4 linked regions of the Caenorhabditis elegans genome follow. The protein of the gene in region 1 binds, or shares a complex with, the protein of each later gene. Each region holds a gene or a part of one and is shown in the gene's direction. Other genes may lie near its edges.

The links.
Region 2: eif-3.L (region 1) and eif-3.H share a complex: the UniProt entries of both Caenorhabditis elegans proteins name them as parts of the eukaryotic translation initiation factor 3 (eIF-3) complex.
Region 3: eif-3.L (region 1) and eif-3.C share a complex: the UniProt entries of both Caenorhabditis elegans proteins name them as parts of the eukaryotic translation initiation factor 3 (eIF-3) complex.
Region 4: eif-3.L (region 1) and eif-3.K share a complex: the UniProt entries of both Caenorhabditis elegans proteins name them as parts of the eukaryotic translation initiation factor 3 (eIF-3) complex.

What each region holds. Positions count from the first base shown.
Region 1 is NC_003280.10:5,616,250-5,624,194, reverse strand, and holds eif-3.L (Eukaryotic translation initiation factor 3 subunit L), read left to right. Parts: upstream 1-1,713; coding exon 1,714-1,786; intron 1,787-2,397; coding exon of another isoform or gene 2,398-2,403; coding exon 2,404-2,530; intron 2,531-2,579; coding exon 2,580-2,853; intron 2,854-2,896; coding exon 2,897-3,064; intron 3,065-3,107; coding exon 3,108-3,461; intron 3,462-3,546; coding exon 3,547-3,716; intron 3,717-3,765; coding exon 3,766-4,003; intron 4,004-4,059; coding exon 4,060-4,272; downstream 4,273-7,945. Other genes in the region: npl-4.2 (Nuclear protein localization protein 4 homolog 2), read right to left, coding at 1-436, 484-675, 738-1,103, 1,155-1,298; dhs-6 (Hydroxysteroid dehydrogenase-like protein 2), read left to right, coding at 4,915-4,928, 4,977-5,148, 5,220-5,598, 6,134-6,347, 6,394-6,617, 6,662-6,915. UniProt on the Caenorhabditis elegans protein: Component of the eukaryotic translation initiation factor 3 (eIF-3) complex, which is involved in protein synthesis of a specialized repertoire of mRNAs and, together with other initiation factors, stimulates binding of mRNA and methionyl-tRNAi to the 40S ribosome.
Region 2 is NC_003279.8:4,441,261-4,448,376, forward strand, and holds eif-3.H (Eukaryotic translation initiation factor 3 subunit H), read left to right. Parts: upstream 1-3,458; 5' UTR 3,459-3,469; coding exon 3,470-3,586; intron 3,587-3,631; coding exon 3,632-3,754; intron 3,755-3,800; coding exon 3,801-3,996; intron 3,997-4,043; coding exon 4,044-4,143; intron 4,144-4,192; coding exon 4,193-4,487; intron 4,488-4,729; coding exon 4,730-4,996; 3' UTR 4,997-5,353; downstream 5,354-7,116. Other genes in the region: C41D11.3 (Cysteine/serine-rich nuclear protein N-terminal domain-containing protein), read right to left, coding at 409-502, 552-667, 1,345-1,591, 2,284-2,757, 2,807-2,896, 3,026-3,082; cps-6 (Endonuclease G, mitochondrial), read right to left, coding at 5,402-5,753, 6,009-6,163, 6,220-6,342, 6,852-7,028, 7,075-7,116. UniProt on the Caenorhabditis elegans protein: Component of the eukaryotic translation initiation factor 3 (eIF-3) complex, which is involved in protein synthesis of a specialized repertoire of mRNAs and, together with other initiation factors, stimulates binding of mRNA and methionyl-tRNAi to the 40S ribosome.
Region 3 is NC_003279.8:9,973,864-9,982,455, reverse strand, and holds eif-3.C (Eukaryotic translation initiation factor 3 subunit C), read left to right. Parts: upstream 1-2,793; 5' UTR 2,794-2,795; coding exon 2,796-2,896; intron 2,897-2,944; coding exon 2,945-3,178; intron 3,179-3,259; coding exon 3,260-4,145; intron 4,146-4,191; coding exon 4,192-5,309; intron 5,310-5,360; coding exon 5,361-5,718; 3' UTR 5,719-6,030; downstream 6,031-8,592. Other genes in the region: Beta-catenin homolog sys-1, read left to right, coding at 1-431, 488-713, 945-1,271, 1,323-1,827, 1,880-1,962; T23D8.3 (Protein LTV1 homolog), read left to right, coding at 6,170-6,352, 6,684-7,124, 7,778-7,894, 7,943-8,389. UniProt on the Caenorhabditis elegans protein: Component of the eukaryotic translation initiation factor 3 (eIF-3) complex, which is involved in protein synthesis of a specialized repertoire of mRNAs and, together with other initiation factors, stimulates binding of mRNA and methionyl-tRNAi to the 40S ribosome.
Region 4 is NC_003283.11:12,951,240-12,957,734, forward strand, and holds eif-3.K (Eukaryotic translation initiation factor 3 subunit K), read left to right. Parts: upstream 1-2,762; coding exon 2,763-2,938; intron 2,939-2,985; coding exon 2,986-3,184; intron 3,185-3,363; coding exon 3,364-3,457; intron 3,458-3,509; coding exon 3,510-3,716; intron 3,717-3,825; coding exon 3,826-3,872; 3' UTR 3,873-3,990; downstream 3,991-6,495. Other genes in the region: T16G1.18 (uncharacterized protein), read left to right, coding at 98-190, 698-784; pqn-68 (D-aminoacyl-tRNA deacylase), read left to right, coding at 1,399-1,455, 1,499-1,702, 1,758-1,949; mpst-7 (Rhodanese domain-containing protein), read right to left, coding at 4,048-4,203. UniProt on the Caenorhabditis elegans protein: Component of the eukaryotic translation initiation factor 3 (eIF-3) complex, which is involved in protein synthesis of a specialized repertoire of mRNAs and, together with other initiation factors, stimulates binding of mRNA and methionyl-tRNAi to the 40S ribosome.

The sequences.
Region 1 (7,945 bases):
CACTCTTCGATTTATTAGATGTGCCAACGTGGAACGTGTAGTGAGGCTCTTTTGGCATTCCAGCAGGAACATCCACCAGCAAATATTCAACTGGAAGTGGTCGTCCGTTTTTCATAACCTCGGCTCCGTATTCATTTTTCATCGAAAATTGAACATCAGTTATATAATGTTCTTCGGATAATGGTGTCTCTCGAACATAAGCCAATTCAGGAGTGTACAGTGTTGGACAGAGAATATCAGCTTCAACCATGGCCGCACATTGATTTGAAACTTGATATCCGTGGAAATTAACATGCATCGATTCATCACCAGATGCAACAACGGTCACAAATTTGGATCCATAGTGACGATCCATCGAGTACTCTGTGATGTTTGGATGTTGATTTTGAAGCATTGCTGCGGTGATGCATTCCTCAGCTGATAGGAAGAAGGAATCCTGAAAAATTATTCGTTTTTTGGGCTTCTCTTCGAGATTGTTCTCACCTTGTGCCGTGTATAATGTACAGTTCCTTCAGCACTATTAGCTGTCCAACAATCTGTGAAGATCCATCCAACACGTTGCAAGCCAAGCATTTCCAGCAAATTGTCAATAGTTTTTTGATTTTTATCCTCCAAAAACTCAATTCCATCTTCACGGCAGTGTTGTGGAGGTTCATAAATTGCAGCCACTGTAGCCTGAAAGTATGAGCAATGAAATAACTCGTCTCAAGAAATGAGTGATGAAGTACTGAACTTACCTTGATTCCTAGTGGAACTTCAAGGTGAGGCTGATACTGTCCAATTAAAAATCCAACACGCTGATGGCCCGATAGTCTCCAATAATCCAAAAACTGATTTACAAGCTCTTGATTTTCAATTTGAATGTTATCAACATGACGAAACTTTTGACGATTCAATGTTACAACCTGTGGTTTGCATTTAGTGCAAATTCCTTTCGGGAACGGCTTGTGAGCATCACAGTTGGGTTTTAATGAACATCGAAAGTTTTCCAGCGGTTTTTTGAGAGTCGTGCCCTTCCCCTGGGATCCAAGGAGCTTGCGAACATGTGCATGGAAGCTCATATGCTTGATATCTTTTTCTTTCAAATATTCTTCATCGAATGGCTGTAAATATTGATATTAGTTTCTATGAAAACAACAGAAAATATCACTTACATCAACAGGCAAACAATTAGTGCACTTTTGACGTACAGGATGCCGACAGTTGGGCCCTTTTGGACGCTGAATTTGACCATCTTGCGTGCTTAAAAAAACATCAACGTCGTTGACACGCTCAGTTTGAGGGACTTCAATTACCATATCTGAAATAAAATAGATTTTTAAATGCAGGAAGATATGCCTTCTAGGTAGTGAATTGAAGATATATAATTTTGAGATTTTGCAAAAATAATGCAGCGGAAAGGGTATCAAATTAGTTTCCATACATATTCAAACATTAAACAGCAAATGAAATAAAACATTTTGTTTTTAGAATAAAAAATGTCATCAAAACTGCCTAGACAACATGAATGACGAGCAAATGCGTACACAAAAAACCGTGCGGCACTCTTGCGAAATCCCATGCAACGCTTGCAATTTTCTTTTTTCCATCACATTTTCCAATTCCTTTCATCAAATTTTACAATTAAAAAAATGTTTTCTCTTAATTTTAGCGTACCTTTTCGAATTTAGTTTGACATTTAAATAATATCAATATAAAAACCTTCTTTCAGTAATGTCTCGACGCGTGGAATTCGATTTATCCACTGAAGATCACTCTGATCGTCGTCGCACCAACACCTTTTCTTGTAAGTTCACAGAATGCTATTTTTCAGAATTGATGAATAAGAGTAAAATGAGTTGAAAAATGTTAAAATTTGAAACAGTTCGAAAAGACTGAAGACTCGGTCCTTTTTTGATTAACCGATTTATTTTAATTCGGCAAACAGACATTTGGAGAATTTGGTCTGAAATAATTTTGCATAAAAACTGCAGATTAACATTCCATGAGCAAAATACATAAAATTCAGAAAAACCAAATTTTCCAAATACTGTTACAGTGAAGAATCAATGCCAATTCTCAGAACTCCCTCATTGTATATGAAAATGACTACTTTTGTCATTTTCAGTGTTTTTCGGTGTCGAATATCCTCAAATCTCAGATTAAATGAATCACAGCTTTATTCATTTGAAAGAAATAATAAATGAAAAGGTGTTCATAAGAGTTCATAAGAAGTTAATCATTTAAAAGCCCGAGAGAGAAGTTGAGTATCAGAGGATCAATGATCGTGCATTGTGAAATCTTTTCAAAAGAAAAATTGATAATCAATCAATAGAGTAATTCTATAAACATATTTATGGTAGTTATTTAGGTGCTTGTTAACAACACAAACTTATCTCATTTCTTAATTTTTAACAGCTTCAGCCGATGAGGATGGAGTTCCAAATGAGGTCGCCGACTACCTGGTCTACTTTTCCCGCATGGTTGACGAACAAAATGTGCCGGAAATTTTGACTCTCTACGATCAAGCTTTTCCAGATCTCACCGAGAGGTAATATTTAATAATCTCAAATTGTTTTCTATTTATCTTTTAATTTCAGATTCTTCCGTGATCGCATGTGGCCCGATGAGAATGTTGTCGAAAGAATTATTGGACCTGGCAACAAGTTGTTCATAATTCTCTACAAGGAACTCTATTATCGCCAGCTGTATGCAAGAAATACTCGTGGACCACTCCTTGTCCATCGCTATGAGTCGTTCATGAACTATCAAGAGTTATTCTCTGAGCTTCTCTCAAGCAAGGATCCAATTCCATTGTCTCTCCCTAACGTGTGGCTTTGGGATATTATCGACGAATTCGTCTATCAATTCCAGGTAATATTTTTTGGTAGAGTTTGTACGTAATATAAATATTCAGGCATTCTGTCTCTACAAGGCTAACCCAGGAAAACGCAATGCTGATGAAGTTGAAGATCTCATCAATATCGAAGAAAATCAGAACGCGTGGAATATCTATCCAGTTCTCAACATTCTCTATTCGCTTCTATCAAAATCCCAAATTGTGGAGCAGCTCAAGGCATTGAAGGTTTGTTTAATTCAATATTATTTTTTTGCTTTCAACTCTACAGTCGTTCCAGGAAAAACGCAATCCGGATTCGGTCGCCGATGAATTCGGTCAATCGGATCTCTACTTCAAGCTTGGATATTTCGCTCTCATCGGACTTCTCCGCACTCACGTTCTTCTAGGAGACTATCATCAGGCTTTGAAAACCGTGCAATACGTGGATATTGATCCAAAAGGAATCTACAATACAGTTCCAACTTGCCTTGTTACTCTCCATTACTTTGTTGGATTTTCTCATTTGATGATGAGAAATTACGGAGAAGCTACAAAGATGTTCGTCAATTGTCTGCTTTATATTCAAAGAACAAAGAGTGTTCAAAATCAGCAGCCATCGAAAAAGAACTTCCAATATGATGTTGTGAGTACTTTCTAAATTTTTTGCACAATATTTGCACAATAATTGAATATCTAATGAAGACCCAATAATATTCTGCCGATTTCAGATTGGAAAGACGTGGGATCAGCTTTTCCATCTTCTTGCAATCTGCCTCGCCATCCAGCCACAAAGAATCGATGAAAGCATTGCTTCTCAGCTTTCGGAGCGATGTGGTGAGCGTATGATGCACATGGCGAACGGGAATATCGATGAATTCAGAAATGCTTTTGCTACTGGGTAGGAAACGAAATTAGTCAAGTAATTGTATAGTATTGTATTGTTGCAGATGTCCAAAGTTCTTGTCTCCAACCACAGTTGTCTATGAGGGAGTCAACCAATCGAAAGAACCACTTCTTCGTCAAACTCAATCTTTCCTGGAAGGTATTGAATCACAGATGGCGTTACCAGTTCTTCGTGGATACCTGAAACTTTACACAACACTTCCAACTAAGAAGCTTGCGTCGTTCATGGATGTTGATGATGAGCACTATGATTCGTTCATTGGAAAGCTTCTCACTTACAAGGTATATATAAGAATTTCCGATGATCTCGAGTGTTGATGTAATATTTTGAATTTCAGATGATCGTCAATGAGCTTGGCAAAGAAGCCGGACCATCATCAGCAGACGACGATGAGCCACAAACAGATATTGACTTTTACGTAGACCGTGATATGATCAATATTGCCGATACCAAAGTTGCTCGTCACGTCGGTGAACATTTCATTCGACATATTCAGAAGTTGCAAGAGGTTCAGGATGTGCTCAAACGACTCGATATCCAGAAACCATGATCCTTAAAAAGTATTTGAGCTAAACGAAACATGACTGGTTGATTTCCGGTTAATTTCGTTTAGTTTCACACCAACTCCCACTCGTTTGTTAACATTATATCTCTTGTTGAAAATTAAAAACATCTCTCCGTTTATTTATACCACTTTCTCCTGTTGTTGTCTTTTCGTTTTGGTCCTAAACTTCCTTTTTTTCTCTTATCTCCCAATTATTTTGTATCCATGGTTCATAATAAGTTTAGTAAATTTTTTTGGTTTTTCTTATGAAGTTAATTTATGATTGTTTATATTCTACGCTCATCGCAACTACTTCTCAATTTTTTCCGAATAATTATTAATCTCTCTTACGAGTAGTCTTGTATGTACAGTGATAGACTGTACTTTGACCTATAGGTCCATGGTTTTCACCTAGAACGTAGTCTTATGTGTATTCTCCCACTAGTTATGCCTGCGTCTCCAGTCTCGAGGGAAGATAAGTAGAACAGGAGGACAACAACAATCTTTTCCATTGATCCCGATTTTTTTTCCCGTTTGTTTTCAAAATTAAAAAAAATTATTGTTTCTCTTCTTGGCTCGCCGAATTAATTCTAAATTTCGGAGTTTCAGATTCTACAGTAATCCTTTGAAGACAGTGTCAATAATAAAATGTTCAACACTGGGTGAGTTATATAAATAACTTCCCGTATAATAAAGTTCTGATTCTACAGAAAATTTGTCGGGCGAACAGTTCTGATTACTGGCGCTTCTCGAGGAATTGGAAAGGAAATCGCACTGAAATTGGCAAAAGATGGTGCAAATATTGTGGTGGCAGCAAAGACAGCCACAGCTCATCCAAAACTTCCTGGAACCATTTACTCTGCTGCTGAAGAGATTGAGAAGGTAATATAGAAAATTGCTGGATATAAATAATTTTAAGGAAGTTTTTTTAAACAAAAAACAATTATTTCTAGGCCGGAGGAAAAGCCCTTCCATGCATCGTCGATGTTCGAGATGAAGCTTCTGTGAAAGCATCAGTTGAAGAAGCTGTAAAAAAGTTCGGAGGAATTGATATCCTTATCAACAATGCTTCAGCAATTTCACTTACCGACACAGAAAATACTGAAATGAAGCGCTACGACTTGATGCACTCGATCAATACACGTGGAACATTCCTCATGACAAAAACTTGTTTGCCATATCTGAAATCTGGAAAGAATCCGCACGTTCTGAACATTTCACCTCCACTTTTGATGGAGACTCGCTGGTTTGCTAATCATGTTGCCTATACAATGGCCAAGTATGGAATGTCGATGTGTGTTCTCGGGCAGCATGAAGAATTCAGACCACATGGTAATATATTTGAAAAAATATTCGATTTTTGAAAATCTCGAAATATTTTTAAAAAATACGTACAGTGAGTACTGTAGCTCCTAACTATCCGAAGTGTTAGGGGCTACAGTCGTTTTTCGGTTTTTTTTTGAAAATCGAAAAATTTAATAATATAGTTCTCTTTCGATGTTTCAAAAATCAGCTTAATATTTTGGCCATTATCCCTCTTTTTAGAAGAAATTTCTATGTTTTTTCTCATCATTATAAGCAAAATTAGATAAAAAATTTTATAATCAATTTTCTGAACATTTTTTCGATTTTTAGATTTTCCATAGAATCGAAAAATCGAAAACTTTCGATTTTTCGATTTTCACTGAAACACATCGAAAAATCGAAAAAGTCGAAAAATGCCACCATTGGATACAGTACCCCGTAAAGGTGCACATACTTTTGTACGTACCGAGTACCATATTTTTGTGTAAGAAATTTCAGTATATCGAACATTTATAATAGTAAAATATTAATTTTCATCGTTATTTTAATTTCCATAATTCAGGTATTGCTGTGAACGCTCTATGGCCACTGACCGCAATTTGGACTGCTGCAATGGAAATGCTTTCTGACAAAGGAGGAGAAGCTGGAAGCCGTAAACCATCAATTATGGCTGATGCAGCATATGCAGTTCTATCCAAAAACTCCAAGGATTTTACTGGAAATTTCTGCATTGATGAAGATATTCTGAAAGCTGAAGGAGTTACTGATTTTGATAGGTAATTGCTCATTTTCTGGATAATTGGAATTTATTAATTTTTCCAGATATGCATGTGTGCCAGATGCTCCATTGATGCCCGATTTCTTTATTCCTGCAGGAACTTACGATCACAAGTTCTCATCTGGAGCACAGATCGGAAAAAAGAATAAGACTCACGAAGCCGGAGTTGTTGAAGAAGAGATCAAACAGATATTCACATCTGCAAAGCGCCTGCTTAATGCTGATATTGTAAAGAAAACTGGATTCGTGTATGAATTCTTGTTAAAAGGTCAATTCCGTTTGAAATCTATAGTTCTATATGAATTTCTTTAGACCCAACTACAAAAAGCGAGAGAATCATTACTTTGGACTTGAAAAACGGAGAAGGAGCACTGACAGATAAGAAGGCTTCAGGCAAAGCTGATGTTAAATTCACACTTGCTCCAGAACATTTCGCTCCACTCTTCACTGGAAAACTCCGTCCGACGACTGCTCTGATGACAAAGAAGCTCCAAATCTCCGGTGATATGCCAGGAGCAATGAAATTGGAGAGCCTTCTCCGCAAGTTCACCGAAGGAAAACTGTGAATAACTGATGCATTTTGTAGAATAAATTGAAAACTTTGGAGTATTTTTTTATTTTTGAATTGGTTTTTTTGTATATTTCTTGTAAACATGATAATTTTATTTGTAAATTAATTTTTAGATATGATCTTTTGAATGAATTTTCAAAGTTTGAACCGTAATTCTAGTATGATGTGAGCCGAGATACTTAGTTGGTGATATTACCCAGACGCGACTTTTGCAATTTTTGCGCCAAAAATACGCAGCCCAGTCTCGACACGTTATTTTTCTGTACAAAACGAGTGGGCCTTTAAAGAGATATGTAATTTCAAACTAATTTAAAGAAAACTTTTCATATTTGTCGATTAAAAATGTAAAAACAAATTTTAACATTTTTAAGTACTTTTTGAAGGAACACACCTTTTCGCATTTAACAAACACGTGCCGTGTTGAAACCGGGCACCGTATTTTTTTAAAATTCGACATTTAGTAATTCTGAATTAACTAAAGATAAAAGTTTCATAAGATGAAACACATAAAATCAATTTACTTTAATCAGTGACAATCTCGTTTCCCGTATCCAATACAAGATTTTATTGTAACTGTAATATAATGAATTACAGTCAATAGACTCTGATCGTTCAACTGTCAAAAAATGTCATCAATATTCGTTCACTCTATCTGATTTCTTGTTTTCTGCGCGTACTATCACCTCATTTATCATCATTTATGTTATTTATTCTTTTCCTCCAACTGTTTTCTATTTTATTTAATAATCGACCTCACTTCCTTTTTTTCAGAATTCTAAAAAAGGTTTCTTCCATCTACAAAGTTCTGACGTGAAAGAGCCCAGAAAATCACTCTGGAGCAAGGGAATTGGATACACATGGGAACTTAATATAAATGAACTTAGACAAACTTAGGAATATACGTCACAAAGTGAAAGAATATCACGTCGAGGTGGCCGCCCGTCTACATAATTCGGTTTCACAGAGTTATTGTGTCAAAAAATAAACTTTATTATGTGAAGCTATGTAAAACAAAAAATAGCCGA
Region 2 (7,116 bases), on another chromosome or scaffold:
TCAAATATATGTGATTTTCAGATTTTCCTATATTTTATCATTAAATGATAATTTTTGAAAATCGAAAAATCTGAAATTTTCGTTTTTTCGATTTTTCAAAAATTAGCTTCAAATATTTTGGCCATTTTACTAATTTTTAGAAGAATTTAATATTTTTTTTCTCATCAATATAATCAAAATTAGATTATAAATAATATTTCATAGTTAAATTTCAGATTTTTTTTCGACTTTCCGGAAAATCGAAAATGTTTCGTTTTTTTTTTTGTTGAAAAACCGAAAAAAAAATTATTTGGCACTTGAAAAATCACTTTTTTGTTGAAATTTTCCCCCGATTCCGTTTTTATTTAAATTATTTTTCAAGACGAGATTTCAGATTTTTAGCATTTTAATATTTAAAAAATTTCAAACCTCCTTCAGTTGCACTGTAATAAGTTTCACCAGACGTTGACCGGGCCACTAACGCCGGAGGAGCTGGAAGAACAGTCGATGACGTGGATTTTAACTGAAATTTTTTTTTTTGCAATTTTTTGAATTTTTGTAGTAAACTCTACCAATTGACGACTTCCAGTTCCATAAGTTTGAGCGATTCGTTCAGTGACAGCCCTTGGATTAAATATCGTTGATTTGAACTTCCGCATCGGGGTTGACATTGTGGGAGTTGGTACTGCTGAAATTTTAAGAGTTATAGAGAATGTATATTTAAATTTAAAATTTTTTTGTGAAAATTTTGAAAAAAAGAAAACCTTATTTTCAATATAGTGATGCAATTTTAAAACAAATTTCCGAAAATAATTGTTTCTCGCATGAATAAGTTAATATTTAGCTGTCACTTCGCATTATTTTGGTACTTTTTGGTTATTTCTGTGAAGTTGCAAAGTATGGATTTTATTTTAAATATTTTAAAAGATGTGACAGGGAAACGTTTTTTTCTTAATTATTTAAAAAAAAACGGAATATTTTTTCTGCAATTTTTTTTAAACATGCATGTCTAATATTTTTTCTAAAAATAAAAACCATCGTTTGCCAGATTTTCATATTCTGTTTCGCATAAAAAATTCAATAAATTGTAAAATATCGAATTTTTTTCAGAGTTTTAGGAAATTTATTCCAGATTATCGAGTTTCTTTCGGAAAAAATTGTGAAAATTTGACAAATTGTGTGTTAAGAAAACATAAAGAAAAAAAGAACAATAAAAATAGCCGGAAAACGCAAAAATTTCAGCTCTTTTCATTTTTTTTTCTTGAAAAATCTAAAAAATTCTATAGGTATATTGAGGCTATTTTCTATTATTCAGGATTTTTAAAACATATTTATGTTTATTTTTTTTCAGGCTTTCATAAAAACCTTTTTCAATTTCCTTTTCCTCTTCGAGCCGAATCGAAAACGACGAGATATATCGTTTTTTGAGGGGACTTGTCGAACGATTTTCCGAATCTTGACGAACTCGTTTTTTGATTGGCGAAGTTATTGGCTTTTTCGTAGGTGATTTTGGAACGAACACGTCATCATCGATGGTACGGGTCTCAGAAATGCCACGTGGACGTAAACGTTGTGGAGTTAAAATTGGTGGCATGTCGGATGAAAAGAGACACTGAAATAATATTTTTTGTTATTTTCAGAAACTAGTTTTATATGATTGGGCGGCAAACGATTTTTTCCGGCAAATCGGCAAATCGCCGGAATTGAAATTTCCGGCATTTCGGCAAACTGTGCTGTTGCACTTTTTATTGGAAACTTCAGAATTTCAAGTTAAAGACGCGAAATTGTACGCCTCCTATTACGGGAACACAAAATTCTGATGATGCGTATTTCACAACATATTTGACGCGCAAAATATCTCGTAGCGAAAACTACAGTAATTATCTAAATGACTACTGTAGGTCGATTTAAGGGCTCGATTCTCGAAATGAATTAAAATTATTTATTCATCGATAGATATTTCCAAAATCAAGCCCGTAAATCGACACAAGCGCTACAGGAGTAATTTGATGAATTACTGTAGTTTTCGCTACGAGATATTTTGCGGGTCAAATATGTTGTGTAATACGCGTTCTCAGTATTTTGTGTTCCCGTAATATAAAAAAATATGTTCCTACTTCTATTTTGAAAAGTAAGGAAATTCTATGAAAATATCTAGAAAAACGGGAAAACATTTCAGATTGCCGGAATTGAAATTTCCGGCGAATCGGCATTTGCCGAAAAATCAAATTTTCGGAAATTCGCCGAATTTTTCGAAAAAAAATTTGCCGCCCAGCTCTGATATGATTCAGTTGAATATATTACCGTTAATGAAGATGTTCTCTTCCTCTTTAACACAGGAGTTAAGCTATTTCCAATTTCCATTCGTATTGGAACATCAAGGGACTGGGCCTCTAATCGTGGCATTGACCCGGATCTTCGGTATCTTTTAACTGGAGAACCAGGTGTTTCCACATCTTCTTCTTGCCTTCGAATCCTTTCAGGCGTCTGTCTCAACAGCATTGATCCACTACTAGATCGACGCATTGGCGGTGTTACTTGATCTTCCAGGCTTGGAATACTCTCCGGAGCCAGTTTTCGGATCGGTGTCTGGTGGTCCTGTTCTATCCGCAATGGAACCATTGGCTTTTTCTCCATTTTTATGGGTAATGCACTAGTCTTTGTTCGAGTTAGACTAGGTACACCGGCTCTTTTGAGACTCGCTGCTACAGAAACCATCGATGTTGAATGGGATAGGAAGGATGAGGACGATGATGGTGGTGGGATTGTTCTCTGAGACTATTATGAATATTATTAAACAAAAATGCTGGAAACTTGAGGGTTTTACCTCCAAAGAAATTGAAAAAGTCGATTTCAATTGGCTCATTCCCGCCATTCGTTTTAATCCTCCACGTGGACTTGGTGGAACCAATGGTGTCTGAAACAAATTTACAATTATTTTTTAATATGCATTTGGTTATAATATTAAATCTTCAAATGGATTCCAATAAAGCTAGTTTATTTAAGAATTGTGTTTTATTGATTTTTTTTTCATAAATGCGCTTACCTTTATTATTTCATTATTTGTAGGTTTATTAGGGTCGTTGGATGCACTCGATTGCATCTGAAAATATACAATTTCTCTTAAAAAGTTTCAAAAAGCATTTTAAAAAGTAAATCCCAAAAACAAAAGAACGACAAAAATTTGAATTCAAATCAAAAGATCACGCGCGGGTACGGTGTGCAATTGTGTGCATGCACTACAATTGACGCGCAGTTGCACACAACAACGGAAGGAATTAATTTCGTGGAGTGTTTCCTATTTTCAAGATTTTATTGATTATTTTGAGGTTTTTCTCGCCAATTTTCTGAAATTTATATTTTTAATTTTCTTTCGAAAAATTCGTGATGCTTAGATTATTGATTTTTCCTCTTGTGAGATGCATGTTATTGTTTATTGTTCTTTAGAAAATTTGAAAAACTAAATGCTCATCTTTCAGGGTTATCAAAAATGTCGACAGCAGTGACAATTACCGCTCCGAGCGTCAAGCATATCCTTTTGGATTCGCTTGTGGTTATGAAAATTGTGAAGCACGTGGACAGTGAACTTCATGCAGGAATTAGTGAGGTATATTATTTTAATTTAATTTCAAGCTTAACATGTAATTTACAGGTATCTGGAGACGCTTGTGCCGGAGTTCTCACCGGTCTTGTTTTCCTTGAAGATTCTCGCTTGGAAATCACCAATTGCTTCCCAACAGTTCGCAACGAGCCAGTTATGGATGACGATGCTAATGTAAAATTAGCTCATGCTAGTGATTCCAATATATTTTCTATTATAGGCCGCTCAACAATACGAAGAGCAAAAGCAACACGAGATGCTTGACATGCTCCGCAAATTCCGTACAATGAATATCGATTACGAAATCGTTGGATTCTATCAGTCTCATCAATTCGGAGCCGGTTTCTCACACGATCTCGTAGAATCTATGTTCGATTACCAGGCTATGGGCCCAGAAAATGTTGTTCTTATTTATGGTTAGACAGATTAATGAGGATAAATAATTAATTCTAATTGCTTTCAGATCCAATCAAGACTCGCCAAGGACAGCTTTCTCTAAGAGCCTGGCGTCTTTCCACCGCTGCTCTTGATCTCGCTTCAAAGAATGACTGGAGACCAGAATTGTATGGTTTTTGAGTTTAAAAATATATTTGCAAAGACATATCTTTTCAGGGTGAAAGCCGCTGGTTTGACATACCAGAACATGTTCGAGGAGTTGCCAATCATCATCAAATCCTCATATCTCAACAATGTTCTCATGTCTGAGCTTTCACTCGCTAAATCATGCTCTTCTGACAAGTACTCCACGAGACACTTCGATTTGGGATCCAAGAAGTCGCTTGAAAAGTCGGTCCGAGCTATGATGGCTAATGTTGATGAGCTGAACAAGTCAATTCAGTCGTTGACGAAGTACACTATTGACAAGCAAAGACATGATAATATGGTGTTCAGTCTGACGCAGAAAAGAGTAAGAATTTCGAATTTTGAAATTAAAAATATCCTGATTGTATCGCTAAAATTTATATTCCGAAGTGTAACGGCTTTCAAACCTAAAGTCTTGTTTTTTGAAAACCATTTTCCAACATATCGAGGCTCCACTAACTATAAAACCGGATGTGAGGGGTACATTTTCGGTGGAATAAAGGTGCCATTCACGATTTTCGAAAAAAAAATCTCTATCATTAAAAATTTATATTTTTCCAATTTCAGCAACAGGAGAACGAATCACGTGTGGCCCGTGGTGATCCAACAATTCCAATGGATGACATCAAGAGAATCAAGGCTCCACAACTCCAAACAAGAAATGGACTTTTGGATGAGCTTCTCGCCAGTTTTGACACCAACGCTCTCGCTGACTTCTCGAAGACTGTGACCAGCGAAAATATCACGAAAATGTTCATCGCTGAAGCTGTTGCTGAGGAGAAAGTCGCCGGAACAAAAGACAGAACTTTGAGCTCTGTCTCATCGACTCGTTAAGATTCCCAAATATACTCGTGTTTTTGTTTCCTCCCTGTTCCCTTTAATTTACTTTTTCTTTTCTAAAATATTTTTCTCTCGGTGAAAGGAATTTCATATTACATAAAACTAGTGACATAAAATAATGTCTCACTTTCAATATAGGGATATTGTTTTTCATCCAAATTTTTTTGCCGTATGAAATTCCTTTCTGGTATCCTTTTCCACCTTCCCCTATTTCGGATGAATTTTTGTTGTTGACTAATAGTAAGTTAAGATTTTAAAATTTCTATTGGTATTGTTCTTTTTAATTGAGTTTTCAAGTTTTTTCAATCAGTAAATCAAAAAAGTTAACAAAAAATTTATTTGTGAAACAAAAACAAAACAACCTAAACCTAAAATTCACCGGAATCACAATCCAATCAATCACCAAAGTAATCCTCCCTTCTTTGCTCCGTTCTCTTTCACAATGCTCTTAGGGTCCAAACGAGCGAAAATCTCAAGACCCGCACTTCTCTCCACAGCATCCAATGGAACATGGAACTTGGAAATTTCTACAGTATCCTCGATGACTGCGTTTGGCAAAATATAGGATTCCAGCTCGAATTTGCCGGGTGTCACTTCGAAAAGAGCAACTTTGAAGAAATGAGTTGGCACTGCAACGTTATTATCACCGATAACTTGATACTTGATATACTTTTTTCCATCTCCTTCAAGTTTTGGAAGGTAGAGGGGACCGGTGATTATGTAGGAGTTGATCATCTTTTTTGCGACTCTTCTGGAAATTGTAGAAAATTATTTTTAGTATTGTAAAGAAAAATCTTGGTACCAGCTGGTTTCAGACTGGGCTGTAGATTTTTCGTTTTTTTTTCTCAAAAAAATTTTCCAAAAGTTTCAAATTGTATTAATTTTTCAAAAAACAAAATTCTTTAGAGTTACGTGTTTTTGCGAAAAACTTCGTCGACGAGAAAAAAAATTATTTCACATTTTTCGCGTTTTTTTCCCGGCAAAAAACTTTATTTATTTTACCAACCTGCAGTGCATTTCCAAATCATTCCACTTATCGCGATTGAATCCTCGTCCAACTTGTGGGCTCATATTGCTCAAATAAAAAGTTTGATCGACCGCCAACTGACTCTTCCGATGATTTCCAGCGGCGGCGAGATGTCCACGATCGAATCCACTGCACTGAAACATTGGATGGTTCAGAAATATTTTTTATGTAATAATTACGAAGAACTAACCTTATAATCCGTATTTTGAGAAAGGAATTTCTGCGGGAAAGTGATATCTGGCTTGAATTCACAAAGCTTCCGATCCACACCTTCTGCGTGTTTTAATCGTTCTGGTGTAAGATGTTCGCAGACCTGGAAATTCAATTTTTTATTAAAACCGGTCTCGACACGACAATTTTTTAATGTAGAAAGGTGTGCACCTTTAAATAGTACGGTAGGTTCAAAGTTTCGTTGTTGTGGAATATTCATTGATTTTTATAGTTTTTTTTCACGATTGTTAAAATTAATGTGTTTTTTTAAATAAATAAATATTTTTTAAAATAAAATACTAAAAATAAAAATTATGATAGTTTGAAATGACAGTACTTTTTAAAGGCGCACACCCATTTGTTTTATACAAAAACAAAAGGCATGTCGAGACCAAAGCTGCCTTTGTTTTTGGAAAAAAAAAATTTTTGGTTTTTTCGGGACAAAAAACCAAAAAATAAATTACAACACTGATTCAGCAAAAATGAAACAAATTTTTTTTTGGTGGAAGATTTATTTTTGCAGTAGCCCTGCTGGGTACCGTATTTTTGGCGCTAAAACTTGGCGTCCGGTATAGATTTTTGAAATATATTTTCTCATAATTTTCTACTAACCCAGTGTGCAGTTCTTGTCTTATAATCGTAGGAAAGCACGAAATCCTCATAAGTTCGAACATTTGTGAATCCGGGATATCCGTGCTTCATGATCTCTGCCGAACGAGATGGTCCCATTGCATCAGCATTTAGAGATGCTGGTTTTACGGTCATTGGCTCCGAAACTTGGATTTGATTCTGCAAAAGCGGCATTTTTCAGGATTCTAGAAGATTTTTATTAAACCATTGGAACATTGGTGGCTGATTGAACATTCCTGAAGATTGG
Region 3 (8,592 bases), on another chromosome or scaffold:
AATGGTCCACAAGATTTTCGAGAATTGATTTGCAATTTGATTTCGTTAAATTGGCAAAAAGATCCTCACATGAAACACTGCGCAAATCAGGTGTTTCAAATTTTCAACTGTATCATAATGGGAGTGAAAAACGAGAAATTGAGAACAGAATTCGCTCAACATTTGAAATTCGAAAAACTCGTTGGCACTCTCTCCGAGTACTTTAATCCTCAAGTACACCCGGGAATGATAAATCCAGCAATTTTCATCATTTTTCGATTTATTATTAGCAAGGATACTCGATTGAAAGATTACTTCATATGGAACAATAATCCACATGATCAACCTCCTCCGCCAACAGGATTAATTATAAAATTGAATGCTGTAATGATCGGATCGTATCGATTGATTGCAGGCCAAAATCCTGAAACATTACCTCAAAATCCAGAATTGTAAGTTTAAAAATGAAAAATTCCTCCATCACTAACAAGTTATATTAATTTTCCAGAGCTCATCTTATCCAAGTTATAATCCGAACATTTGATCTTCTGGGTCTTCTCCTTCATGATTCCGATGCAATTGATGGATTCGTACGGTCTGATGGAGTTGGAGCAATTACTACTGTAGTACAGTATCCAAACAATGATTTGATAAGAGCTGGATGTAAGCTCTTACTTCAGGTCTCTGATGCAAAAGCCTTGGCGAAGACTCCATTGGAGAATATATTACCATTCGTAAGTTTTACGTTTAGAAAATCACTGGACTATTAGAAAATTATTTATGTGTTCTTTTACTTTAAAAAATTATACTAGATGCCCCAAACCTATCTAATTCCATAGTGATACTTCACTTTTGTAAGAAGTTTCATTATTAAATTCGGTCGTTTCAGGCTAGTTTTAGTCTATTCAAATTAAAAAAAAACTTCTCTCCCTTCAAATAAACTGTTTAAAACCGGAAATTTTCAGTTACTGAGACTCATCGAAATTCATCCGGATGATGAAGTTATCTATAGTGGAACAGGATTTCTGAGTAACGTAGTGGCTCATAAACAACACGTAAAAGATATTGCTATACGATCCAATGCAATTTTCCTACTTCACACGATAATCTCAAAGTATCCACGACTAGATGAACTTACCGATGCTCCGAAAAGAAATCGAGTTTGTGAAATTATTTGCAATTGTCTGCGTACATTGAACAATTTCCTGATGATGTGGATTCCAACGCCCAATGGAGAAACGAAAACGGCTGGACCGAATGAAAAGCAGCAGGTCTGCAAATTCATCGAAATTGTACGTTTTGGAATTTGAAAAACGATATAAAAATGAATTAAATTATTTCAGGATATTCTGAAAAAACTGATGAGTTGTTTATCATGTGAAGGAATGGATACACCTGGTTTATTGGAACTTCGAAGTACAATTCTCCGATCTTTTATACTGTTACTCCGAACACCATTTGTTCCAAAAGACGGTGTTCTGAATGTTATTGATGAAAATCGGAAGGAAAATTTAATAGGACACATTTGTGCCGCCTATTCATGGGTTTTTCGTCAACCGAACAATACAAGAACTCAATCCACAAAGCAGCAACTTGTTGAACGTACCATAAGTTTATTGCTTGTGCTCATGGAGCAATGTGGAGCTGAAAAAGAGGTGGCACAGTACTCGTATTCAATTGATTGCCCATTAAATCTGCTGAACGGAAATCAAGTGAAACCAACGTTTATTCACAATGTGCTTGTTGTATGTGACAAGATTTTGGAGCACTGCCCGACGCGTGCGGATATTTGGACGATTGACAGGCCGATGTTGGAAGGACTGACGAATCATAGAAATTCAGATATAGGTATGTGTCTCGAAAATGTGTTCATAAATTAAATTACAATGCATTTTTTCAGCTAAAGCCGCGAATTCTCTGCTGAGTCGCTTCCCTGAAAACGACCTTCTTGCTGGTATTTTTTCAAATCGAGAATATTTCTGATTTAATGGATAAATCTGTCAACTCCATCTTTCATCCCAAAAATCCCCGTTCAAAGCCATTAATTCGTCTAGTTGGAAGCTGTTTTAGCGTGTACATAGTCGTATTATTGATTAAAATATGTTCTCTCTTCTTTTCTTCATTTTCTACCGGTCCCAAATTTCCTCATTCTTGACGATTTCATATGAATTCGAGTTTAGAACAAACAAAACGTTCCGATTTTCCTAATTTATAGCACATTTCTTCTCATTTTGCCCTCGGTTTATCTCTTTCTTTTTGTTGTTTCTTTGTTTACGTCTGTAGCATAATATTTTTGAATACAAAACATTTTCGCGATTATCTTTGCATTTTAACTATCAAATTCCTGTCTTATATACGTCTTTCTTCGATGTTCTTACGTTGAATAGAAAATAAAATTATAAAACTTTTTAAATGTTGGATTGATTTACTGAATACTCGGTTCATATATAAGTTATTTAGAGACTATTCTCGTTCTGTAAAATTAACCTGAAATTGTGGAATTGTGATTAAATAATAAATTATTATTTAAATCTCCGCGCAAATGCCCACTGGCGCAAGTGGCGAGTGCTGACGCATCTCCCGTGCACGCGAAACGCGCCAGTAAGGTCTTGCAACGATTTTCTTATGTTCCACTTCCACTTAAATTTATTTCAGCTAAATATTGACCCATTAGCTGTTTTTTGAATTGTTTTCAAAGGGAAAATCGTTTTATTCATTTTAAATTTTAAATAATATTGGAATTTCTGTCTAATTGTGTATCTACTGCTTGTTTGCTTCTTGTTTTGGGATTTCATAATGTCAATTTTGTTTCAGCAATGTCTCGCTTCTTCCATGCTAAGGAGGACTCTGATTCCGACACTTCGTCCAGCGAGGATGAGGTAGAGGATCAAAAAGTGAACAAAAGCGCGAAATTTCGGTAATTATAATCTCCAAAGTAATTCCAAAAGATTGATTAATCTTTCAGCGATGATCTCGATTTCATGGCCGGTCCTGAAGAAGATGAGAAGCGTGTTGTTCGTGCCCAAAAGGACAAAAAATTCGATGAGCTGAAAGGAATTATCAAGCAAAATCGAGATGCAAAGAGCAACAAAGATCTGAACAGACTTCTAACAGGTTTTGATTCTCTGGCCAAAGCTTATGATAAGTCCAAGACGGTCTTTCAACGTCAGAATGTCGCAAATCCAAGATTTTACATAAGGTGAGATATATTTTTAATTTACAGTCACATCATAAAATAAAATGCTAATGAAAACTTAGTAGTTGATATAAAATATTTCAGGTCTCTTGTGGAAATCGAAGACTACGTAAATAAATTATGGGATGATAAAGATGCTAAATCTGCTCTTTCGAAGAACAACGCAAAAGCTCTTCCACCTCTTCGTCAAAAACTGAAAAAATACATCAAGGATCAACAACTGCAAGATCTTGTTACCGATTATCGCGTTAATCCTGACGAGGATGGATATGAAACTCCAGAAGATGAAGACGACGATGATTTTGGAGAGGTTTCTGAATCGAAGGCTGAAAAGTCACCTGGAAAACCATCTGAGAAAGCTGCAGTGAGCGATAGTGACAGTGACAGCGACGATGACGACTCCTCTAACTGGTCTTCTGAACCAGAATCCAATTCTTCTGATGACGAAGACAGTGTGACTAAGATGGAGCAACTTCGTAGGTATTTCTTGAAAAAAGAATTCCGCGTGGAGAGCAAAGATGACAAGAAAGAAAAGAAGAAGAGAGTTATCAGAGTCAAAGAAGCTGTCGAGGAAGACGATGATGCGGATTGGACTCCAGTTAATCGTGAGAAGTCTGTTGTTCACTTTGATCCCAAGGAAGAAGTTACTCATGACGTTATGATTAAGAAACTCAATGAGGTTATGTCGGCTCGTGGAAAACGAACGACAGATCGTAATCAACATGTTGCTAATCTTCGAAAACTTTTGGAGGTATCGGAAGAGAAAGAACTTGGTCTAGGAATCAACGTTAAAATCAGTTTCTGCATAATCTCGGCTCTTTTCGAATTGAACGCTAAAATTAGTGATCACATGGAGTACGAAACATTCATGACCACTCTGCAAACCGTCAACAGCTTGCTCGATCTTCTCATCGGAACTGATCGTGTAAAGTTATCTGTGACATATGCTGAAGAAGATGAAAATCTGAAGGTAATACTTGCATTCCTAAAATTAATAAAAATCCTAATATTTGCAGGATGACACTCAAGAGTATCGCATTCAAGGAAGTATTCTGATTGCTGTGCAAAGATTGGACGGAGAGTTGGCTAAAATTCTTCAAAACGCCGATTGTCATTCCAATGATTATATCGAGAAGTTGAAGGCCGAGAAGGATATGTGCTCACTCATTGAAAAGGCCGAGAAGTACGTTGAACTTCGTAACGATTCTGGCATTTTCGATAAACACGAAGTTTGCAAAGTGTACATGATGCGCATCGAGCATGCCTACTACAAATATCAAGATCAAAATGAGGAGGATGCTGGAAAGTTGATGGATTACTTGTGTAATAAGATCTATACACTTGATGATGAGAAACGATTGAGACAACGTGCTATGCTCTGCCATGTTTACTATCTGGCTGTTCATGACAAGTGGCACCGCGCCAGAGATCTTCTTCTTATGAGTCACATGCAAGCTATCGTTGATCATTCTGATGTCGACACTCAAATCCTCTACAACAGAACTATCTGCCAACTCGGTCTCTGCGCTTTCCGACACGGTTTCATTCGCGAAGCTCATCAAGGACTATCTGAAATTCAAAATACCCAACGTGCCAAGGAGTTGCTTGCTCAAGCTGTTGGAACTCGTCAGCACGAAAAGACTGCTGAACAAGAGAAGATTGATCGTTCCCGTCAAGTTCCATATCATATGCACATCAATGTTGAACTTATGGAGTGTGTCTATCTGATCTGTTCGATGCTTCTCGAAATTCCACACATGGCTAGTTGCGAATTCGAAATGCGTCGTCGTATGCTCAGCAGAAGTTTCCATTACCAATTGAAGCAAAGCGAGAAAGCTTCTCTCACTGGACCACCAGAGAATACCCGTGAACATGTTGTCGCCGCATCGAAAGCAATGTTGAATGGAGATTGGAAAAAGTGTCAAGACTATATCGTCAATGACAAGATGAACCAGAAGGTCTGGAATCTTTTCCATAACGCTGAGACTGTTAAGGGAATGGTTGTGAGACGTATTCAAGAGGAATCTCTCAGAACTTATTTGCTCACATACTCTACAGTTTATGCCACTGTTTCGCTCAAGAAGCTTGCGGATTTGTTCGAACTTTCAAAGAAAGATGTTCATAGCATCATCAGGTATTTGTAATATTTTACTAGACAGTACATAATTTTTTTTTATTTTTTCAGTAAAATGATCATCCAAGAGGAACTTTCGGCTACACTTGACGAGCCCACCGACTGTCTCATCATGCACCGTGTTGAACCTTCCAGACTTCAAATGCTTGCTCTCAACTTGTCTGACAAACTTCAAACTCTTGCCGAAAACAATGAACAAATTCTGGAGCCGCGCACTGGACGTGGTGGTTATCAAGGTCCAGGATCGTGGTTTCCAGGAAGGAACGAGCGGCAAGGAGATAAGCAGAAAGGATCTGGTGGATACCAAGGAGAACGACGTGGAGGACAAGGACAAGACGGAAAGCGAGGAAATTGGGGATCTCAAGGTGGTCAGCAACGTCGTCATCCTCAAAAGCCACGAGCCTTCTAAATATCCATTTTTCAATCGTCTCTCCCATTCGTGGAACCCGCTAATACGCCTTTCATGGCGCCTGCAATTAGTCTCAAAAACTTTTTGCAGGCGCCAATACTTGTTGAATCTTTTATTTAATTGATCAGTTTTTTTGGTAATCCCCCACCCTTTCCCACTTTTCCTTGTTCAGTGTGAGATCTGAACTTTAAAGCTCTCATTTTTCGTTTCCGGTTAGTAGTGTTTAAGTTATACTCTTTCCATACTGTTTTGTTTTTGCTAATTATTTATATTGGGTTGCCGGATATTATTTTAATGAAATATTTAATTTGATTCGTCCAATTTTAAGTAATTTTTTATGAGCCCCGGTTCTGTCCAATCAGTTATTTTCTCAGATCCAACAATAAAAGTAACAAAAAATTAACATAGAATTCATATTTCAGGTTACTGGAAACATAAATTTCGCCTCAAAATGGGTAAAAGGAAGGCATTCATTGATAAGAAAGCCAGTCAAAGTTTTCGATTGGTTCCGGATAATAGGGAAAGAAGTGAACGATTCAAGCCAACTCAAGAACATTTGGAGGAACAGCAAAAGTATGGAGTCTACTACGACGATGATTATGATTATTTGCAGCACATGCGAGCTGTTAATGAGGTTTGTCATCTTAAAATCAATTTGATCAAATACCGAAACTTAAAAAAAAGTGTTTGTTTTTCGATTTTTCAATGAAATCAAAAGATTTTAGGATATGTCAAAAAATAGCTTAAAATTTTGGTCTTTGTACTTCTTTTAAGTAAAAAATTTCTATGTTTTTTTAATCAGCATTTTTTACATTATTTCATAAAATTGAATTTTATGGATGATTAAAAAAAAGTTTTCCATATTACGGAAAATCAAAAAAAAAACAATTTTTCGATCACCTCTTTTAGAACATAATCGAAAAACAATCTTCTTGTATTGGTAAAATAATCATTTAAATTTTCAGCCGATGAAGCTGGAAAATGTTCATGAAGAAGTCGAGAAAACGACCATCAAAACGAGTGGTTCATCAGCATTCCCACCAGCTCCACCACTTTTCGGACTTGTCGGTGCTCTTAAGAAACCGGAATTTTTTGACGAAGATGTTGCAAATGCGTTGGAAGAGGTGACAGATGATCGTAACACCGGAGAACTTGAAGATAATTTTATCACACTTGCTGGTGGTCTTCTTGATGAAAGAACTACAGTTTATAGAAGTACAAGACGAGGTGAAGATTCGGAAGAAGAAGAGGATGACGATGAAGACGATGAGATGTATGATGATTATAATGATGACGAGTTATTTGGAGAAGAGGCTGTTGGAGAGATTAGAGTTGAAAGAGCTGATCAAAGAGTTATTGATAATGCTTTTGAAGAACTCATGGATCGTGAATACAACACCGATCAGGTATTATTTCAGAATTATTGGCTTGAAAAATATGATAATTAAACTTATTTAAAAATCGAACAGTTTTCGAAAAATGCCATAAATTTTCGCCATTTTTCCTCTCTTTAGAATGAAAGGATATGTTTTTAATTTTTTCTCTTTACCATAAGAAAGACTTGATTTAAAAAAAAATGATTTTTTGACTAGATTTTTTTTAAAAAATTGTTCTTAGATTTTTTGGTTTTCCGGAAAATCAAAAAAAAACTTTTAAAAAAATCAAATTTTTCGCTTATCGGCTTTTCATAGAAAACGAAAAAATTTAGATTTCCAGTAAAATCGAAAATTGAAAATTGAAAATTTTTTAATTTTTAAAAATTAAAAAATCGAAAATTATCGTTTTTTAGTTTTTTTTTCGGAAAATTCTTTAAGTTTTGGCAAGTTTTCCTCTTTTTAGAATAAAATAATCTTCAACATAAACAAGACTTGATTTAATGAAACATACATTTTTTAGTTTTCTCAAAAAATTTTTCAATCTTTCGGTTTCCTCTAAATAAACTCATTTTTATGAAAAATAAACTTCAAGAAAATTATGTGTTACCAGAAAACATTCTACTTTTATTTATTATTTTTGAGATTTAATCTGACCCAGTTTTAAAAAATGAATTAATTTTCAGATCGGAGAGCTTGATGGTGACGACTATGATGTTGGAGGAGCACTTGAACCGAACGCTGGACGACTTCACAAACTTATAAATGACAAAGGACCTTCAAATGCAGAGTATGATGAAGAGGTAGTACTTTTCAAAAGAATTATTTTCATTCATCATTTAATTTTACAGCTCGCCAAGCATTATGTACGTGAACGAATGCGTCTCATTGAAGAGGGAGTCATCAAAGACAAAGAAGAATACGAGATTGTGGAAGTGGATGAGGGTACAAATAAGAAAATGAAATGGGATTGTGAATCATTTGCTACTCAATACACTAATATCTACAATCATCCGACACTCATCAAGGAGCCACGTGGTTTATCCAGAAAGGCATTGAAACGATTCGATAAAGCTGTTGAAGAGATGGATATTGCTGAAGAAGATGAAGATGATGATGAGGATATGGAGGATGATGATGATAAGGAAAGCGTTTTTTCAACTGTTTCTACTTTCCGACCAAAAAATGAAACTCCGGAACAGAGAAGTCTGCGGAAAAAAGCTGTAAAAGAGGCCAGAAAGCTGAGAAGAGTTGAGAAAAAGGCTAACAAGACTATGTTCGCCGAGGAGAAACGAAAGGTAATTTTTCATATTTCATATTGAAAAAGTATGAAACAACTAAAAGAAAATATTTTCACACTCACAACCATGGGAGTCACCAAAAAACCTTTTGAGCCAAAAAAAAACAAAAAAATATCGAATTTTTCCCCTCTCCCTTTTTTTGTTTTATTGGTCCGAAAAAACAACAAAAAAAACACGACAGCCATGCACCAAGCGTGCCG
Region 4 (6,495 bases), on another chromosome or scaffold:
CTGGTAAGTGACCACCAATTGCAGTGTTCCCGGCCTATGGTTTAACTAATATTCACGGCCACGTAGCATTTGACATGTTGTGGGCCTCCTCCACAAGATGAGACGGCAGAGAAACATACGGTCTCTGCGTCTCTCACTCCTACATCTGATCTCATTTATTTTGCACATATTGATCTACCGTCCGGCTCTAGTATGTAGACATTTTTGTTGAACCTTTTGAAGTATAAGACATATAAAAATGTCTGTATACAAAAGAGTAATTTAAAGGATAAATATCAACTCCAGTCGACAATGTAGTACTAAGTTAACTCAGTACTACATTGTCGATTTTTGAAGGTTTTTTGAATTTAAAAAAAGTTGGCTTAAAGTGAAAAGCGGCTAATGGAAAAACTTATTAGTTGAGTTAAAAGAGAGAAATTTCGGTCCAAAGATTACGCTGGCTACTACAGTACCCTCTTTACTGAAGAGCTGATAACTACATAACAAAATGTTCAGTTTGAAATGATTAATATTTCTTTAGTTGACAATATTTTTCTAACCTGTAAGACAGACTAGTTGCATGTCCCCAAAAGCTACATTGATTAGAAAGTCAAATAACAGTTCATGAAATACTTTTTTTAAAAGTTAGAAGAAAGTATTCACAAAATTGTTAGATATCTCATATAAAATAAGTTCCCAATTGAAATATCAATTTCAGGTTTCAGGACTTAGTGGTATAGCCGGTTTAAGATGGCCAACTTGGAAATGTCAAAATCCCCATAATTTTTTGTATATAGAAATGTAGTTCTTGTTAGTAAAAATTGTTTTAAATCTGCTTGTCATAATATTTGGTTAATAAAATTGTTGTATCTTTAAAGATAACGGAGATTGTAAGGTTTTAATTAAGGGTGGCATGTAAAACCACAGCCATCAAGTTATGGTCGTATCTTTTTATTGAGAAGAGATATCAAAAAACTCTCAACTTAAGAAATGTCTGTCTTTTTGTAATGCTCATTTTGTCAGTTTATCATTAGTCTCTATCTCAAACATGAACAGAGTTATATATGCTCAAAATCTATGAAGTGCATCCACTTTCTACAATCAAGGCTATAGCTGCTACAGTCTACCGTATCATCGATTTCTGCTCAAATTTAAGAACTCCTGTTGAAAACAACGGCAAGGTGGCCAGCAAGCAAACCGCGAGAGAGTTGGTACATTTCTTGTGAAGGAGACCGTGTACAGATTCCACGTCGCGCTGGCCGAGCCTTTGAGGACTAGTAATACGGTGGAGTGTCGTTAGCGCGCTCTGTTTAGCAAACATTTTTCATTTATTTTTAGGGTTTTCAAGAGAACATTTCAATAGTTTTCATCTGTTTTTTTTTGTATTTTTAACATTAGTTGTTTCAATTTTTTTCAGAAATGAAGGTAGTTCTTCAACGAGTTACTCGAGCTGCAGTCACCGTAGGTGATGAAGTGGTAAGAATATATTAACCGTTATTGTTTAAAATATCATAATCAGGTAGGTTCCATTGGAAGAGGTCTGTGTGTGCTTGTCGGAGTTCATCGAGATGACACGGAAGAGGATATGAAGTATATCATTAGGAAAATTTTGAATCTACGAGTTTTCCCTGCTTCGGAACAAAAACCATGGGATAAATCAGTTATGGATCTCGATTTAGAAGTGCTGTCTGTCAGTCAGTTCACCCTTTACGGTCAGTTTAAAGTGAGTTTTGTCTAATATACTTAAACAAAACTATTCATATTATTTCGTTTTTTAGGGAAATAAACTGGACTTTCATACCGCAATGGCCCCAACAGAAGCTTCAAAATTTTATGCTTCTTTTCTTGAAGCCATGAAAAAAGCTTACAAAGCTGATAAGATTCAGGACGGCAAATTTGCAGCAATGATGAGCGTCGATATTGTAAATGACGGACCTGTTACAGTTACTTTTGATAGTAAAGAAAAATAATAAAAATTTGTTTTACTACTGTTGAATTTTGTACAATTTTGTTCATACAGCGGTTTGATTCCGTCATCATATCTTAATTATTTTCATATATTTATATTCTCTGGCAAAACCTCATATTACGTATACCTTAAATGCGAGTTTTCAATATCTTACGCACATTGGTCTCACCACGCAGACGACGACTTACTGTAACTTTTGTCGATTTATGGATTTTGCATTAAATTTTGATTATATAAATCGTAACAGAAATTTTTCCTTTAATTTGAAAATTATGAGGCAAATGTGGCCCTTAATTTGACACCAGTTACAGTAACCCGATATCAGCGTGGCGAAACCCATACGCTGAGTTTTCCTCTAACAATAGTTTTTTCTTATTTCTAATGTAAATCTCATTAAAAACTGAAAAAAAAACTTGGAAAAACGTCTCCATTTCAGTTTGTCTGATAGCAAATCGAGTTCACTGAAATCTCTTAACCCAAATGGGGAGTGCCTCTAAAATCGAGGAAGATCTGTGCAGGATATGCCTTCAGATTTATTCGATGCGCCTTTAAAACTATTGTTATTTTGATTGAGAAAATTTTTTTTCTTTCTCTTAAATATTTTTCTATCAGTTTTGATGTGTTCTGTAGCTTTTTTTCTAATTAATGGAGAAACTTAGCGTAATTTTAATCGATTTGACAAAAGATGTGCGCAACTTTATGCAAGATTTTTTTCACTTTGCGCAGGACTTCATCGAGTCTGTTCAGGAGTTTCACTCTACTTATTATTTCTCGCAGAGTTTCTTTTCTTCAATTGCTATAATTTGTTTTTAAGATGTCGTTCGAGAAACTGCAAAAGGAATTGCACGAAGCTATCGAAGGAGTAAACCGATACAATCCGGAAAATGTTGCCGACTTGGCTGCCTGCGTTCAAGCTATGGTCAATGAAAACAAGTACGATAAAGATATCGTTTTGACCATTCTCAAGCTCTACCAGCTTAACCCGGAGAAGTAAGTATTCAAGAAGATTAATAAATTTCAAAGAGAATTTTTCACAGGTACGACGAGGCTGTTGTTCGACAAGTTTTGCTCAAGACGTTGATGGTTTTGCCATCGAGTGATTTCGCTCTCGCCAAGTGTCTCATCGACACCAACAGACTCGGATCTCAAGAACTTCGCAGAATCTTTGATCTTGGAGCTGTGCTCGAATCTTGCAACTTCGCTGTTTTCTGGAAATTGGTGAAGGGGGCGTATAAAGTGAGTTTTTACACTTTTCAAAGAATAGATTTATCTAATATTGAAACAAGTGAGCTTTTCAAAATCAAACCTTGTTTTGTGTGCATCTGAAACTCAGTATTTATTTCAATGCTGAATCTATTTATTTTTGGAATATTCTTTAATTTCGGCGTACGACTAATCAATTTTTAAAATTTCAGCCAACAACGAACCCAAATGAACCCTTCAAAGTTCCTGGCGAAGTCCCAAAAATGATCAAGCCAATGGTCGGATTCGAGGATGCTGTCAAGCACTGTCAGTTAAATATTATTTTTATTGCTTGACAATTTCAATACCAAGTTTTCAGATGCTTGTCGCGTCATCAGTGTTACGTTCCAAAAAATCGAAAAGAAAATGTTGAGCCGTCTTCTCGGCGGAGCCAGTGACAAGGAAGTTACCGCACTGGCACAATCATTCGGATGGGAAGCCAAGGAAAATGGAGATGTTTTCTTTGTTGCAAATCACGAAGGAACTATCAAAACAAGAAATATCGACGAGAAAATTCAATTCCCACGTGAGTATTATGCGTATTAGGTTTTTCAAACGATTTAAAAAATGTCCTAATAATCGAAGAACAAATTTAAAATGCCTAGTAAAATCTCAAGTGCATCTATCATTTTCAGATGTCGCCGATCTTCTGACCAGCATTCAACCCCCGTTGACTCTTTAATATCAATTATCACTGTCATTCAAATTATAATACCCTTGTTTCTGTTGTTCGGTTTTCCCCCGTTTCTATTCCCTTTCCTATTTATATTTCCTTTATGTTTTCATGAACTTTATTCAATATTCACTTTTACCCGCATTTTATGCATATAATATTTAACATGGATCTTCTTTTAGCGTCAAGTCTCCGTCGTTGCTCCGATGACTCTCAAACCGTCAGGTGCTCTGACTACCCATTCAGGCCACCCGCCAAAATAGATCTTCCCATTGTAACCAGATCGTGTCAAAGCCCACCAAACCATTGCCGATCGAAGTGACGTGGAACAGTATATAATCTGAAGAATATGATCTAGCGAGAAATATTATCATAATTTCAAAAGATTTTAGCATGTCTTCTCGAAGACGCATGGATTCATCCAGATTGGTCTCGACGCGCAAATAAGTTTATGGTACTTCTTTAATTTTGCATTTTTCAATGAAATTATCTTGTTTACAGGGTGGGCCAAAAGTATGGTAACACGTTTGCAGCTCTATAACTTTACTAGTGAAGAGAGTTATTACATCAATTTGTACAAGTTTTGTTCTCCATAAAATACTGACCAGATGAACGTTTTGAATTTTCAAAATGTTCCCATCCGCATCGCTGCAGGCCTTCAGAACTTTTGAGATCACGACCTTTATGGCACGCAAGTCGGCATTCTGCGGTTTTTCTACATTTTTCTCGAGGAATCCATCAAGTGTCTTACAAGTTTTATAGTTCAAAGAATGCTCTTGGTCTAGAGATTCTTTAAAAACAAAAATCCAAATAATTTCTATCACGGTATTTCTGTCATGGACTGCGGCAGTAGGTTAAGTCTTGAATGGCATAGTCGCCAGAAAGATGGATGTGAGCGGCGAGTAGCAGTATGCAGAAAAATTCATTTTAGTATTTTTCGAGACGTTTTGACCTGACTTTCCAGAATTTTTTTAGAAAATTGAGCTCGGATAATTTTGTGGGTCGTTACGCCTTGCGAAACCAAAAAAACTGAGTAAATTTCGCAAAGTTGAATTCATGAAAAATTCAAAGGTTCTTGCTAGGCGCCAGTGTCGACACAGAAAATTTTTATATGCTACAAAAACAATCAAAAACGCTTCTTCACTTCTTTAACTTAAAATTTAACATAAAAATCATACATCTGAAAATTATTGGCGTGCGTGGGAGGTGTGTTTGTGTGGGAAGTGCCGCGTGCCAAATTACCGTTTTTTCGAGGCAATCTATCCCATGCTCACATTTCCCATGCACACATTTCCCATGCTGACACTTTCTCCCGTGCACACAAAATTCCCATGCTTACGCCCAGTAGTTCGAGTACTCCCATGCCTACAATTAATTTTTCTCCTTTTTTTCCGTTCCCATGCTGACATTCCCATACATACATTTTCTCCCGTGCATACAAAATATTCTGATGCTTACATCCAGTAGTCGAAGTACTCCTATGCCTACAACTCATTTTTCCCTTTTTTTTCGTTCCCATGCTGACATTCCCATACATACATTTTCTCCCGTGCATACAAAATATTCTGATGCTTACATCCAGTAGTCGAAGTACTCCTATGCCTACAACTCATTTTTCCCATTTTTTTCGTTCCCATGCTGACATTCCCATACATACATTTTCTCCCGTGCATACAAAATTCCCATGCTTACATCCAGTAGTCGAACGTTCCCATGCCGACATTCCCACACATACATTTGTTCCCATACTTACAAAAATGTATTCCCATGCCGACATGGAGCATTTTTGTGCTCCAGAAGAGCACAAAGTCAATTTTTTTGCTCATTTTCATTGTATTAGGCTTACTTGACAGCTTTCAGTTACAACTGATCGCTTTTTTTTCAAAATGCATTAGTTCTCGATTATGAACAAGGAATCGAAGAAAAATGGGGATGACTGCCTATAGAGTAAAATTTTTTTTTGCTCAAAAAAAATTTTTTTTTTTGAAAATTTTTTTTCTCTCTATTTTGTAGGATATAATTAATTCGGTGAATTCCACAACTTCAAATGTTCATATTGCTGTTTCCGTGCAGTAATGAGTTTCGCAGTGTCTTAGGAACATTCCATTTTTTGTTGCATTTTGTAGGAATTCGGAGCTATCTTATAATTTCTACAAATTAGAAAATCCATTTCACATTATTTCATGTAACTTGAACCTATTGCTTCAAAAATAGCACAGAACGAATGTTGATTCTGTTTCTTTCATTAAAAAATGTGCTACTGTGCATTTTTTCCCACTTCTACGACTTTAAAGGCGCGCGAATTTTCGCGCAATAATCTCGCCACGCGCATCCCATTGATTTGTTGAGCGCTGGCGAGACCAATGACGGGACCATTTTGTATAAATGCGCGCGCCTTTAAAGTCGTAGAAGTGGGAAAAAATGCACAGTAGCACATTTTTTAATGAAAGAAACAGAATCAACATTCGTTCTGTGCTATTTTTGAAGCAATAGGTTCAAGTTACATGAAATAATGTGAAATGGATTTTCTAATTTGTAGAAATTATAAGATAGCTCCGAATTCCTACAAAATGCAACAAAAAATGGAATGTTCCTAAGACACTGCGAAACTCATAACTGCACGGAAACAGCA